Caenorhabditis elegans: one gene and its partners. The protein of the gene in region 3 purifies or fractionates together with the protein of the main gene of each other region. This does not show direct contact. Each region holds a gene or a part of one and is shown on either strand. Other genes may lie near its edges. The genes, in order: evl-18, Y43F4B.10 and exos-9.

What was found.
Region 1: the proteins of exos-9 (region 3) and evl-18 fractionate together in Caenorhabditis elegans (co-fractionation; one large-scale study listed by BioGRID). This does not show direct contact.
Region 2: the proteins of exos-9 (region 3) and Y43F4B.10 fractionate together in Caenorhabditis elegans (co-fractionation; one large-scale study listed by BioGRID). This does not show direct contact.

Annotation. Positions count from the first base shown.
Region 1 is NC_003281.10:3,729,044-3,736,984, reverse strand, and holds evl-18 (Cell division control protein 45 homolog), read left to right. Parts: upstream 1-1,945; coding exon 1,946-2,005; intron 2,006-2,054; coding exon 2,055-2,114; intron 2,115-2,133; exon of another isoform or gene 2,134-2,138; coding exon of another isoform or gene 2,139-2,311; intron 2,312-2,361; coding exon of another isoform or gene 2,362-2,551; intron 2,552-2,611; coding exon of another isoform or gene 2,612-2,692; exon of another isoform or gene 2,693-2,730; intron 2,731-2,841; coding exon 2,842-2,935; intron 2,936-3,414; coding exon 3,415-3,902; intron 3,903-4,628; coding exon 4,629-5,087; intron 5,088-5,477; coding exon 5,478-5,685; intron 5,686-5,736; exon of another isoform or gene 5,737-5,808; coding exon of another isoform or gene 5,809-5,877; intron 5,878-6,035; coding exon of another isoform or gene 6,036-6,128; exon of another isoform or gene 6,129-6,210; intron 6,211-6,482; coding exon 6,483-6,681; intron 6,682-6,727; coding exon 6,728-6,884; 3' UTR 6,885-7,345; downstream 7,346-7,941. Other genes in the region: F34D10.4 (C2H2-type domain-containing protein), read right to left, coding at 1-52, 168-290, 336-361; F34D10.3 (Serpentine Receptor, class E (Epsilon)), read right to left, coding at 2,139-2,311, 2,362-2,551, 2,612-2,692; F34D10.8 (uncharacterized protein), read right to left, coding at 5,809-5,877, 6,036-6,128; F34D10.9 (CPSF_A domain-containing protein), read left to right, coding at 7,415-7,429, 7,477-7,897.
Region 2 is NC_003281.10:13,312,175-13,315,314, forward strand, and holds Y43F4B.10 (uncharacterized protein), read left to right. Parts: upstream 1-1,893; 5' UTR 1,894-1,897; coding exon 1,898-1,951; intron 1,952-2,011; coding exon 2,012-2,154; intron 2,155-2,263; coding exon 2,264-2,393; 3' UTR 2,394-2,547; downstream 2,548-3,140. Other genes in the region: slc-36.1 (Amino acid transporter transmembrane domain-containing protein), read left to right, coding at 1-29, 82-145, 672-778, 845-976; dph-7 (methylated diphthine methylhydrolase), read left to right, coding at 2,960-3,140.
Region 3 is NC_003281.10:7,195,690-7,199,674, forward strand, and holds exos-9 (Exosome complex component RRP45), read right to left. Parts: upstream 2,378-3,985; 5' UTR 2,373-2,377; coding exon 2,307-2,372; intron 2,265-2,306; coding exon 2,170-2,264; coding exon of another isoform or gene 2,166-2,169; intron 2,120-2,165; coding exon 2,016-2,119; intron 1,975-2,015; coding exon 1,883-1,974; intron 1,838-1,882; coding exon 1,673-1,837; intron 1,627-1,672; coding exon 1,544-1,626; intron 1,501-1,543; coding exon 1,368-1,500; intron 1,317-1,367; coding exon 1,228-1,316; intron 1,174-1,227; coding exon 870-1,173; intron 814-869; coding exon 640-813; 3' UTR 536-639; downstream 1-535. Other genes in the region: pfd-5 (putative prefoldin subunit 5), read right to left, coding at 2,593-2,703, 2,755-2,886, 2,930-3,025, 3,075-3,194.

The DNA of each region.
Region 1 (7,941 bases), 3.5 Mb from region 3:
GAAGTCGACCACTTGTTTTGTGCATCCCTCGCATTCGAACAAGTACACTTTCCTAAAATAAATACTAATGTTAAGCCTTAATTAATTTTTTTTGTTTTCAAGGAAGTAAGAGTCTTTGAAAACCAATATCTCAAAAATTGCAAACATTTTTCGGCGCCAAAACTTACGTGTGTATCGAAAAATGGGTCAGAGTGTCGGAAAATGTGCCGACGAAGTTACACTCATCGCCCCTCCGATTTTTCATGAACCGACATCTGAAGAAGTTTTTATTCTGTTCATAACTATCGGTTCTGCAAAAAAGCTATTTTTGTTGATGAAATATTCGCATTACTCACATTAATGCCTTAATATAAGGTTCCATATGCCGCCGTCAATTGATTGAGCTGAAAATTAGAATTGTGTTGAGAGCATATAAGGAAAAAAGAAAATTAAGACGGAGAATTGTGCAACTGAAAATATTCGAGAGGACCCTATTGTACACGTGGCATATCCATAAATATGTGCCACGAGCTGGGGAGCGAGGTTAAGGTCACGTTAAACATTTTATTAATTCGAATTTATATGGCAGGTTTCATAAAATTAAGTTGTTTTTCTCTTATATCCTAGACTTTTTAATAAGGTAAAAATCGACGAATTTGTAGCTTCCTTTAAAAATTAAAAATGTTATAGTAGATTACAAAAATGGCCAGAGTAGAGCGCATGTATGAATATTCAATGGTGGCGTCCGTGTTTTGTGTAAAATATTCTCATTGTGTACAATATTGTAGGAATACACTCAAAACAAATAGTGTTGCCTCGACATTTGCAATTTGAAAGTGTTACAGCACCCTTTTGATTTTATGAATATAGAAAAAATGTGCGAGAAAAATCAACGAGCGTCCCCGATTTGCCAATAAATCGTGGCAAAAAGGAAGAAAAACGAATAGATACGTGGTATGAGCGGAAGGAAGAGTTCGTTCGTCCTTCCAAAATAAACTGAGCTTTCTCTCTCTTCTACTCGGTTTTTATACCCGCTTTTTACGGGAGTGGATGGGCGGTGTGAAGCCAAGTGACGCGCCGCCGGTGCGTCACATGGCTTTTCCCAGTAACACGTGGTCTAGATACGAGCGGCTGCAGGGAACAAAGAAACATGCCAGGAATTCAATTAAATGCATTTGAAACCGGAATTTTCCGACCAAAAATTGTTTAAATTATTGAAAACGACAGAAATTAAATATTTGAATTTCGCCTAAAACAAAACAAAACATTTTCGTTGCGAGACCCACAACTCCAGAAAATGCGTGCTCCTTTAAACTAATTTCGCTTTTTCAACTGAATTAGCTGAATTTTGTGAATAATCAAAGAAAATAAGGAGGACTCCTTCCCCCGGAGGGTATTTGAGAGAAAAAAACAAAAAGTTAAATACAGTAACTGAAAAAACTCAATAAACGTAGATATTTAACTTACGAAAGAAAAACCTCCTCGCCTTGAATGTAACCTACGCGTGTCTGTGTTCATAAAATCCTGATGTGTATTTATTCATATTATTTTCTATGAGTTTGAAATTGAAATACAAAAATTTGTAAATATTGTATAATATTTACATTTCTGACCAAATCTACTCAATCCTCCTCCCCGTTCACCGCGTGCGCGATGACGTCTTCTCCAAACACTCCAGATGACGTAACATACCACCATTCTGTCATTCAGCAACAGCACATTATTATTTTCAATTGAATTGCCCACTTTTAGATTTATTTCTGTAGATTTTTCGGTTTTCAATTCAGTTTTTGCGAGAAATCGAGAAATGCAATTGCGCCCTGCCGCACTCTCAACGCGCGAAGCCATTAATTTGAAACGAACGCATCTTTTTTCACACTTTTCTGGTGATTTTCTCGAGATTTTTTGCTTATTATCTTTTTGAAATTAATAAAAAATAATTTTAAATCAATATTATAAATTTCAGATGATCATCGAAGACAACTTTCGGCAGGAATTCTACAATAAAATCAAGAAAGGCGATAAAGTGAGTTTAAAGTCATTTTTACTCCATTTTCACGTTATTTCTGCTTCAGAGTGTGGTTCTAATCGTTTCAGTCGACACGGATGCATTATGCACGACGATGATTTTGACGGTAATAATGCAATTTATTTATAAATCAATGATTATTTATTTTCTTTTGAACGGAGTAAAGTCTCCGCGTGAGATCGACAAAAATTATTCCACAAAAGATCCAAAATGGGATGAAATAGACAATATATGGAATTGAAAGTGCAAATGTCAGCCGAATTGCGATGAGAACCTCGAAAACCACTTTGCAAGTGATGCATACTGAAAATCGATTTTTTTTATTCAAAAAATATATTTATTTTCGTACTAACCGAACTGTCCTGTGTAAACATTATTGAATGGATACAAAAAGTTCCAGAAAGCGCGGATTCCGAGGTTTTGCTGTCCATTTGTGCGTAATTCGGAGTAAATGTTGTAAAAGAGCACTCCGAAGCACGCAGCGTCTGTGGCAAAAACTATAAGACAAAGGAAAATGTACTGTTTGTCGCCACTTGAATTATCCTGGAATTATTGTCTCCGGTTTATTGAAAATATTTCAATTTATCTTTCATTTCTGCTCACCAAAAACAGAGCCAAACAAATCGTGGTGGCAAGAAGGTCAAGGAAGACACAGATCGCTTTTTGACCCGATAAAAGTCGCATATTCATAAATGAACTCAATTTTATTCACATAATATTGAGAAAAATAGTCGATGGAGACAATAAGAGGGGGAGGGTGCAGAGAAAGAGAAGCGTACGAGAGAGCGCGGTTGCTGTGAGAGCATTAGATAGAACAATTATTCAAATTTCAGCATCTGCTACGCTGTGATGACATCCCATTCTCGATTCTTGCAGTGGAAGGATGGAGCTCGGTGGAGAAGATTTTTGCAGATTCACAAGAGCAAAGTATGTGAGAGAGTCGAAATATCCCCAATTTTTAATTAAAAAATAATTCCGTCACCGTTACCACACGGAAAAGTGGCAAAATTGGAGTAAAAATACAGTATCCGGTCTCGATACGAAAGATAGTACTGTAATTTTGAGCTCCCGTTTTTGCGCAATTCATATCGATGTGTTAGATTTATGTGATTTTATTTTTTAATATATAGTGTTTTTTTTAAAATAAACACATATTTTTAACGAGAAAACTATGAAAAATCGATAAAATTGCTCATCAACGAAAGTTTGAACCTACAGTACTCTTTAAAGGCGCACACTTTTTCGCAATTAGCAAATATTTGTCTGTCGAGATCCGGCGGAACTCTATACCGCCATATCAATTTCTAAGAAGTTTTATCACAATTTTCGGAATTTCGGAGCAAGATTTCCGCTGTTTCCTTTAATAAATTGATAAAAAAACATTTTTTATTACATTTTTATTACAGAATGTCATTATATCCTAATCAATTGCGGAGCAACACGATCCCTGACACGACTACAAATCCCGCCGGCTTCAATAGCATTTGTCATTGATTCTCATCGACCATTTCACATTGAGAATGTCTATGAAAATGGTCAAATTCATTTATTGGCAAATCCAAGTGAAATGAGCGAATTGCAAATTCCTGATCTTGAATCTGTGATTCGAGAGGATTCTGACGATGAAGAAGATTCAGATGAAGATGAAGATCAAGAGTACATCTCATATGAACAACGAATGGAAAAGATTCGACGGAAAGCGATTAAGAGGGAAGAAATGCAAATATGGGAAAGGCAGAGGAGGACAATTCTCTGGAGATACTACGAATCGACGTGGTTCAGCTCGCCGAGCTGTGTGACTTTACTCGAGATGGCCGCAGAAATGAACAGAGTATCTGCTGAAACTATGTGGTTTACTGCGGTCGGGTTGAATAGTGCGATGGCTGATAAATTGGTAAGTTTTAGGTGTGAAGGCTTTGAGCGAATCAAAAATTTCGGTTTCCTCTGAAAAATATCGAAAAAAAATTTTATGACGAAAGAAAAACATCGATTTTTGGCTCAAAAAATGATGCAATTTATCGGATCGATCTTTAATTTCAGGAAAATACGATGGTACAGTAGTTCTTAAAGGCGCATACTCTTTCAAAATCCAAAAAAATCGTGTAGAGACCAAGTTTTTAGGGCAAAAAATGGTATTTTTGGGTTTTTTCAAAAATAATATAATCCAGACACAAAATTTTGCGATTTTTGCGCCAAAAATACGGCGCCCGAGGTATTGACAACTGCTGAAAGATGTGCGCCTTTAAAGAGTACTGTAGCTTTAAATTCTCGTTGTTGCGAAATTTCATCGTTTTTGACAAATTTTTGAATGAAAAAAAAAATTGAATACATTTTTTATCAAAAAAAACTATAGATAATCGATGAAAATTCCGCGACAACGAAAATTGAAAGCTACAGTAAACTTTAAAGACGCAGACATTTTTATATTCCACACAAAGGTGTTGTTTCGAGACCTATAGCATTTCAAATTGATTAATAATTATGTTAAAACACCCCAAAAATCTACAGATTTTGAACAATTTTCAGTAAAAAAATTGGCAAATTACCAATTATCGCTAAAATTGCACTATTACACAATTTAAAAAGCCATAAAACAGTATTTTATACAACTTTTTTTCAGATCTCAATTGAAATGTACACCCAAATCTGTGTAGATCGAATGCGTCCGTTTGTCCATCGATTTATGCCAAAAAATATAGTGAATCAAGGAAAAGTGGATGATCTCTTGCATATTACATTTGGCCGAGAACTACCACTTGCTCTATATTCACATTGGGATTTGTTCAGTGCAATGATGGTCAGCGAGTATTTCTCGATTAAAACAAAAAATTGGACACAAAAAGGAGATGTGAATATTCGACATTTACTTGCTCAACTTGGAATCACTCTTCACGAAACAAAACAAAAATTCGAAGCTCTTCCAACGGAGCAACGGAATTTGGTGGTTGATGTTCTGGAAAAAGAAATGGATTCATCGTTTGCAACATTTTTTGGAACTCTTGGATATTGTGGGAAGTTGAGTGCATGTGATGTTGCAAGAGCTGTCACTTTACGATTGGAAATGCCGAAAAGTGAAACTGTAAGGGTTTTTTTTTGTAAAAATTTATATTTTTAGCCATTCTCTTCCAATATTTTAAATTAAAATTCAGTGATAAAGTATAGAAAAATATTTAGTTTATCTGAAAATAACTATTAATTTACTTGGAACAACTGAAAAAGTTCTCAATAATTCTCTGATTTTTTCGAGCAATTTTCAACTTTCAGATAACTTTTTGCACTCTTTAAACAATTAAAAGTGCTGAAAAATTATCTGGAAGTTGAGAACTCTCGGAACAAAATCTACCAGCTTTTAGACAATTATTTGAGCATTTCTCCAATTGTTCCAACTGAAATAAAAGGTATTTTCAGATAAATCAAATATTTTTTCTAATATTCTGAAATGCCAAAAAATAAAAATATATTATTCCAGATAATGAATCGTTTCCGATCCGGTCAATCAATCCTCAGATCATCAATAACTGGAGAACGACAAGATCGCCTGAATCTCAACAACACGTTCACTTCGATCTGCCAACGAACGCTTCAAGTGTCGTGGAAAACCGTCGCGGCGGCTATTAATCAATCGGAGATTATTCCAAATGGGCCGTATTATCTATTCTCGTGCTCACGGTCCATTGGTACGGATTTTAGAATCATTTGGAAAAAGTCAAATCGGAGAAAATAAAAACTCGATTTTTAAGCATTTTATTAGCATAATCAGAAGATGAAGTTCGATGGGGTCATGTGTTGTGGCTCGGCTATCACTTGGCTCCGCGAGTAGATCCACCAGTTGATTTTCCAGATGCTTCCTCAGCGACGCGAGCCTCTCTCTGTAATTTATTTTTGATGGGAAAATTAGTTGAAATTTTGAATTCAGAAATCCTCAAAGCGGTTTTTGAAAAAAACTCAAATTCGAATTCCCGCAATTTTTTTGATTAAATTCTGAATTCCCCGAGAAGCTAATGTTTCCAAATAACAAAATGCTTACCTTTGCAACCTTGCAAGCTCTGGCATGAGCCATTCTCTCCACCTGCATCTTCTTCTTCATTCGCTTTGGCATCAATTTCTTTGCGGCAGCCATTGCAGACCTTCTTCACAAGTTTCGATAACTAGAACTAACGAGAACTGATTTTGTTTCAAAAAGTTGAAGGAGAGTGGGAAATAAAAAAATCAGGCTTCACGTTTCTCGCGTCATTTGTTTTGAATTTTTTAAATAATTTCTTTTGAACAGATTAATTTTTCGCGTGTAAAAATCTTTTTGGACATCTGCTCTTTTGGTCTGGGGTCTTGGTTGGGGTTTTCAGAGAAAATCAGAAATTTTGAAAATTAATAAAACATTAAATTTTTAAATCAAATTTTGTTGATGTTGATGGGAAAAAATTGAAAACTAGTGAGAAAATTTAGTACTTTTATAGTCTAAAAAATATATTTCCAGACGAGGATATGGTCGACTCACGTCATTTTCTCTACAACACCGCCGGATTCATGATTCGCGCCTTTGCCTCAATGAAGAAAGGACGTACAACAAAGCCGCTAATCGCAATGTTCCCATTGACTGGAGAGAGTGCTGGATGGCTTGTAGTCACTGGAGTTATGCCGATTGCCACAATTTATGAGGATTCACTACTTAAAACGTAATATTCGGCCTGTAATTTTAACTTTAAAATTGATTATTTTCAGGTGTATTGGTCGTGCTTTCGAACGAGTAAAGAAAATGACTCCACCACTTCGTATCGTTGATGACTACTTTAATTCTGATATTATTCGCTTGAAATCTGAAGATCGTACTCGTTTTATTGATTTTCTGCAGACTGTCTTTGAGGGCACATCCAACTGATCTCTTACAGGCGTTTCTACCTATTGCACCATCTTGTTCCAATGCTTTTAATGAAAAAAAAAGTCTTAAAATATAGAGCATTACTTAATTTATCGGAAAATAGCTGAAAATGGCTTGGAAACTGCCATTTTTAGGCGATTTTCCTGCGTTTTCTGTGATAAATCAAGTGATTTTCTATATTTTGACACTAATTTTTAATGAAAAACATGGTGCATTAGGCTATTTTGTAGAATTGCCTCCTACTGTTATAATGTTCAATCTTTCTCATACACGGGCACACTGACTTTCCGAGTTTAATTTTTATTATCAATTTCTGAAATTATTTCCCCTATTTACTTCTCCACTTCTCATTTCATTGTCACATATTCACTTTATTTTGATCAGTTTTCACGTGAACATATTGTAATTTTTTTTCTGATGATGATTTTTTTCTGATGATTGATTAAATCAACTTCCAACTTCTTCAAACTAATTTATTTTATATTTTATCTAGTCTCAAATTTACGCACTTATCATTTTTCTACTCGAAAATGTCTACGCATAAGGTATGTTCGAGTTGGCCGATTTTCCTGATTAATTGAGGATTTTCTAGCAATCATATTTTGTGAGTTCAACACCGAATGGTCTTGATGGAGCTCAATATCTTGCTGTAAATCGTGATGGAAGTGTTCTTTATGGTCTTAAAGTTCGCATCGTATTGAGCATAGTTGAAGCTCCGGAACAAGCTCCAGAAGTCATCACTACAGCAACTGAAAAGTCTATCTGCAAATACCACGTGGCATCCGGAAACACAAAAACGTTCCAACTTGACGACGATATTGATCCGCTTCTTCTCGCTCGAATTATTGAATTTTATATGATTTCGGATAATATTGTCGCGCTGATTTCTTACGATTCAGAGCATTTTCAAGTTATACAGACACTTATTCATCTGGAACATTCGAAAGAATGGGCTCAGACGATTGTCGTGAGAAGATTGACTATTAGCAGAATGTCTGGGCCCCCATTAGTTAGTGAGTCAATCGGTTTTTTATCTGAAAAATGCCTCTGATTCTGA
Region 2 (3,140 bases), 6.1 Mb from region 3:
AAAGAATCGAAAAATGGATTACTAGAAAGGTTTTTTGGAGAAATTTCCATGAAAATTGGTCAAAATTCTTCAAAATTTCAGATTCCCGTCGATAAACAAACATTGTACATCTACATTGCCAGATATTCCGGAGTTATTTTGACTTGTAAGTTTCAAAAAAAAAATATTATTCGCAAAAATTATTTTTTTTTTCATTTTCCGTTTAAAAAAATCTAAAATTGACCTAAATATCGATAATTTAAGTTTTTTTGTTGCGGAAAAATTGTGTTTCAAAAATAATAATCAAATAATAAGTTTAGAAAAAAATCATAACAAATTTAGAAAATTTTAATAAATTTTTAAACAGTTATATTTGGTAAATTGAGACTTTTTCTGACATTTTTGATCAAAAAAATAAAATAATTGGTCTAAAAATCGATAATTATACATTTATTTAAACTTTTTTCGCAGAAAATTGTGTTTCAAATCGATAATGAAATAAAAATTGAGAGAATTTCGGTAAATCCAGACTTTTTCTGAGACATTTTGGAAATATACTATAAAAATTGCACATAAAAATCAAAGGTTTTTTTTCAGGTTGATATCAAATAATTAATTTAGACGAGAAAAAAATTATATAAAAATTTAGAAAAAAACTGATTTTTTCTAATTTTTTGAAAAAAAATTTCCAGGTGCAATAGCTGAGCTTATTCCTCATTTGGCTCTTTTCATCTCATTAATCGGAGCATTTTCTGGAGCTTCAATGGCTCTTCTCTTCCCTCCGTGCATTGAACTTTTGGTAGGAATTTTTGAATTCCAATTTTTTTAAATTAATTAAAAATGAAAAAAATTGAATTTTTTTCAGACATCCTACGCGAAAAACGAGTTGAGCACTGGATTATGGATCAAAAATATCGTTCTTCTCACTTTTGCCTTTATTGGATTCACAACGGGAACCTATAGTGCACTTATCGAAATTGCAAAAACTTTTGCATAGATTTAAATATCTATAATATTTAAATATTTTCAGCGTTTTAGCTGGAAATTCCCAGAATTTTATTGCACCTTTATGGAATTTTTTGGAATTTTTTTTTGTATATTTCGTGTCCTTCCTTGTCGGTTGTTCAATTTGTGATGATGATTTTTTCATATTTTTGCGGCATTTTTTTTTCATTTTCGTTTCATTCCCGAATAACATGTACTATTTATTTTGTTAATAAAATTCGAGCTTCTGTGAATATTTTTTATCGAATTTTTTGAAATATTATTTAAATGTGGTATCAATTTTAACCAATTTATTTAAATATCTCGATTCAATTTTATATTACCCAGCCGCAAAATTTTGCAATTTTCACACTAAAAATACGGTACCCGGTCTCACAACGACAATATTTTGTTAAATACAAACGGGCGTGCACCTTTAAAGAGTACTGTAGTTTCAAACTTGTGTTGCTGCAAATCATGAAATTCCGTACGTTTCAACAAAAGTTTGAAATTACAGTACTCTTTAAAGGCGCACACCTTTTCCGCATTTAACCAATATTTGCCGTGGCGAGACCGGGAAAACCGAAAAATTGGAAAAATGTTTAGAAAATTAACAAAAAAAACTATTTTTTATCAAATTTTATTTATGTTAATGAGAACAAATCATAAGAAACAGATAGTTTTTCTCTAAAAAGAGGAAAATTATATTTTTCCAAAAATCCTTTTTTTTTTCAAAATTTCGACAAAACAAAATTGTTTGGTTTTTCGATTTCTCAAAAAAAAATATCGTAAAAATAACCGCCAAAATCCTAAAGCAAATGTGCTCCATTGAAACGTGTTTTGAAAAGAGACGCAGAGAACGGTGGTGTTCCCGTTCTCTGTATTTTTATTGATTTCTCGCAGTAATTCATTCAACCTATTTTGTTTTAGAAAAATGGCGACACAAGAAGATCTTCAAACGCTTATCTCAATTGTGCCGAATCTTCAGGTAAAATATTTAAAAAAAAATCTAAATATACAATTTTAATTGAAAAAATAATGATTTCAGATGCAAGAAGGCACTCCTTATTACGAAGTTCTGCTCAAGTTGATCGAAGAAATCGGGAAAGACGTTCGTCCAACATATACATTCAATAAGTTGACCTGTGAACGGTTGAAGAGGAATATTCAAGCGGCAAAAGTTCTGATTAGGTAGGTTTTTGAGTTTTTTCGTCGATTTTCCACTCGAATTATAAGTGTCGATCAAATATTTGATCGTCATAATCGAGAAATCAATTGAGAGAAAAAAAATCATTTGCAGAGCGTGTCAACAAGAGGCCGAAACAGACAAAAAAAAGGCAGACGCTGCGATCGAAGCACAAAGAGTTGCGCAGAAATCAGAGACTCCGAAGCCTGAAGAGACATCATCGGAGGCCGCCTCGAAGAATTAATCTTGCTTTTTTATATATGTATTTCAAATTGTATTTATTTTTACCATTCCTGCAAACTGGAAACTTTAATTTTTTTGCTATAATTTCCATCACGATCCTCATGGGTTTTAAATTATTCCCAATATTTTTTCCATGAATATGTGTCTTATTCCAATCTCAATAGTTCACCAATGTATAGACTCGAAATTTGGCGGTTTTGGAGCCAAAACGGCGGTATTTGGTCTCGACACGACAATTTTTTGGTTAAATACAAACTAGTGTGCGCCTTTAAAGAGTACTGTAATTTCAAACTTTGGTTTTTGTAAAATTTTTATCGATTTCTTAACGTTATTCGTTAAAATAATACTTTATTTCTAAAAAACTGAAAATTCGATGAAAATTCCACATCACGAAAAATTTTGGAATTACAGTACTCTTTAAAAGCGCACACCTTTTCGCATTTAACAACAAATTGTTTCGTGTCGAGACCGGACACCGTATTTTTGACGAAAAATTGAAACATTTTACGTTTGAAAACCGCATTTTTAGTAAATTTTCAAAATTACAAATTTTTTGAGCTCATTTAAATGCGATCAAAAAGTGTGAAGCTGTCAAATCGCCCAGCATTTGCTCGTCGGATACCATCAGAGGACACATCACGTGCTTGCGTATCCACGTATCTTCTCGATACATCTTCAGACACTCGATCCGGCTCACTGTGCATTTTGAAGATTGATGAAGCCGACGGGCTACAGTTGGAAAATGAGA
Region 3 (3,985 bases):
ATGTTTCGCTGTTTTTGCGTCAAACATACGGTACCTGGTCTCGACACGACTAAAATTTATTGAAAAGGGTGTGCGCCTTTAAGGATTACTGTAATTTTAAAATCTCGTTGCTAAGCTAATATATTTATAATACGAAAAATTTAGGAAATTTTCGTAGCTACGAAAGTTTAAAATTACAGTAATCTTCCAAGGCGCACAGCATTTTTAAATTACAAAACCTTGTCTTATCGAGACCGGTACCGTATTTTTTGAACAGAAATCGCAAAATTTCGTATCAGCGTATTAAGAGACCACCAGTTCATGAGAATGCCTACTTTCTGGCACGAAAGTAGCGGAAGCAGAGAGCATGCGGCGAAGAGAGATTTAGGTGCCTTCGCTACGAGATATTAAAACAACGGTAGGCATTCTCATGATCTCATGGTTTCTTAATAATATAAATATTGCATTGGTTTTTTTCTCTATCTCATGTCAATCTCTGTTCAGGAATATTTAGCTGCTAAATGTCTTATTCAACTGAATCCCGTACTTCCCGAATGAAACTTTAAACGATTCATAAACACAACAAGGCAACATTGCGAACAAATAAAAATGGGAAGGAATGAAAAAGACAACAAATTAAAGAAATTAGCGGCATCTAAACTACTTCTTCTTTTTCTTTTTAGCATTCACGAGGCTATCTTCGGCATCTGGAGCTTCTTCCATTGGCACGTCGTTCAATACTGTTTCGGATCCCAGTGTCATTGTTTGAACTTCTTCCTCCTCGTCGTCATCGTCGAGTCCGTCAAGAAGATCGTTGACTTCCTCTACTTCGCGCTTAAACAGTAATAAATAGTAAAAAAATGTTTAAATAAAATCTTAATTTCACAAACCTTTCGGCTGGAAACTGCAACAGTCTGCTTCTCAGTCACTTCAACTTGTCCAACACTATTCTGAATAGTTGTAAGTTGCTCGGCGAGCAATGTCTCCTCATCAACATCTTCTTGCTTGACTGATCCGACACTCAATGGATTCTCATTAAGAATAACACTTGGTTGGTAGAGACTTCTCTGTGTGAACGACTCAGGCTCAGTTTTGATTACAGGAGCACGAATTTGACGAGAAGCTGTAGTTCCAGCTGTGAGAATGAGTGATGGAGTGGTGATTGCAAAACCATCCGGACGTTTGAATGCGCTTCTGAAATATTTTACAATTGAATAATAATTTCAAAATTTGAAAATCTAATGTTACCTTTCAATTTGATCCTGTTTAATGACGTCACTAACAACTGCAGTGAGCGCTTCCGCACGAGCCATTGCCAACTTTACGCAACGCTCGATCTTAATAATTTTAAAGTCATATTCGAAAATTTGAAATGCGAAATTGAATACCTGCTTTGTTGATAAAATGAGATTTGTGCTCTGATGGAGGGCACAAACTTCGCGACGCTTATTGCAGGCAACTACAATTGATCCATCAAGACATGCAGTTTCTTTATCTGTTGGATCGATGACTACAATTTGTCTGAAAATTAAAAATTAAAATGAATTTGTGACAGAAATCAAACCCTTTATCCAATAATCCGATGGTTGTACAAATTGGCATATGGTAAATGTTCAATGGAACTGGTGCTTTTTCGTATTCCGAATACTGAAATTTGTGATTACTTAAGAACTTTAAAAAAATTCAAACTCACGATAAGAGTGTGATGTGGTTCCAAAGTGACATTTGGTCGTCTAAAATGCTGAAGAGCTGTGATAGCAGCGAGACAAGCACAATCAAGAAGACTTCCATCTTCGTCAAGAATTCGGACATCTACTCGAATTTTCCAAATTTCTTTTCCAGCGCGAATGCAGAGAGCCTGGAATTTATTTTTGTAATTTAAGTTCTCTACAGCTCAATTCACCTCAACATCAATACACCGAGAATCACGAATAATAAGCTCCAATAGACGAATCAGTTCCATTCCTTTGCTCCCGAGACGGTCATGCTCATTGGCTAAAAAAAGGATAATTGTTAATCAAAAATAGGAATCTAACCATAATTAGCCATTGGACTCAAATCAACGTCAATATTAATAACTCCTTTGTGTGGTCTCATTGACGATGGTTCAGCGATTTCGGCACTTACTGCAGCCATTACTCTGAAAATTCAAAATTTATGACTATAAATAATAAGGAAAAACTAACGAACTTTGTATTTCCAATAGTGCAAATTGCAGTTCCAACTTCTGCTCCGACCACTAACTTCACATCCCGAAATTCTTCCAGACTACGAAAATCAAATCTCTGAAAAAAAAATTAAAAATAAATCCAATGAAACCAGTTTACTTTTCCAATTTTCAGCGCCTCTAATATCACAGCCTTCTCGCAGTTTGTCACCGGTTGAACTCTCATTACTTCTGAAGTTAGATTTTAAAGTAATTATTTTTTCGAACTGTAAGTACTCAAGGCGTTTGAACGCGAACCACTAGCTAGAATACAAAAAAGAAGCAAGAAACATATTATTTTGAACAAGAATCAATGCAAGGTGTAGTATTAAAATCGAAAATTGATAACAACAATTTGAATATCGGAAAAGCAAGAGATTTTCAGAAGTAGATTTCTCGGCAGACATTTATTGTGTATTCATCGTGGCGAGTTGAGACTGAACCTTGGTCTGGAATGCGTCCGAAATATAGGCCCGAGTTCTTCGCTTCTCTTTCAGAATTCCCTCAACTGTCTCAACCTGATATAAATAAGATTAAATACTCAAGTAAGACACTTTCGATGTTCGTACCTGCTTTGTAATATGTTCCTTTTTACGGTCAAAAATTGCTTTGGCTTTCTCGCGGTCCAGCTCCACGAAGTATCCAGTTCCGATCTCCACCAAATGCTTTGATGGATCAGATAGTTCAGCACGGATGTAGAGCTGAATAATCATTAATTATTAAAAAAGTACAATGAAAATATACCGATTCAGAAAGTGGAATGAGAGCTGTATGTCCTGCAGTTGCAATTTTCACATCGTCCAAAGCAGAAATACTTTTTTCGTTCCGCGTTAAAAGACCCTGCAAATATTTTTATTAATTTGAAAAACAAATACGAAATTCAACAAACTTTAAGAGCATTGAAAGACTCCTGGAAGAAGTTTAATTCTTGTTCGCAATTCTTCTGGAGTTCTCCGAGTTGTTGCAAGCTGAGCTCTGACAGCGGTACTCCTTTCGGTTCTTCTGCCATTCTAAAATTATTTATAATTATTAAAGAAGAATATTTATAACAATCTTTATTGAAATTATGATCTAAAAATGGATAAAAGGATAATGAAAAAATAAGCATTAAAAATCGGTGAAATTTTCTCGAATTGAACCATTGGCCTAGAAAATTCAAATGTGCGCGGCCACGGCCACTGTTGGCGGTAATTCAAAAATAATATTTTAAGGAAGGACGAAAAGTAGATTTTTGCTCTATTCATCAAAATATATTGAAGGTGTTTTTTTTTTAGAAAAATTAATTGAATAATATTTTATGGAGATTCCAACCAATTAATACCGATTTTGTAACTTTTATTTGAAGACATTTAGCTCCAACACCAGACTTTTCTCCTTTGTTTCCCTGCAATGTTGTGTATCTTCTTGAGGGTATTCCCCGATTTCGCCTTCACTTTTTTATTTGTTGAATCATAAAAAAATTCCGGTGTATAATAAATTAGACTGGGATACTTTGAACTATTAGTTCGAAAATCAAACATCATTTGCAGTTTGGAACTTCTTGGCGGATCTGTTTCATTTGAAAAAGGCATAACTGAAATACAACATTTTTTGGAAAGGTAAAGCTACTACAACCCCTAGAATTCTATAAACTCACAAAGATCCCTTCATAAAATTGTTTCCTTTTTATAGACGAATCTTCTCGAAGTGGAAAAGTTGTTTTGAACCTTCAAAGATATCACTTTCATCTCCTTATCATTCAATTTCCTTTTCTCTAATCTCTCTAATTTTTCCAATTATGTCTCAAAATGATAACGTGAA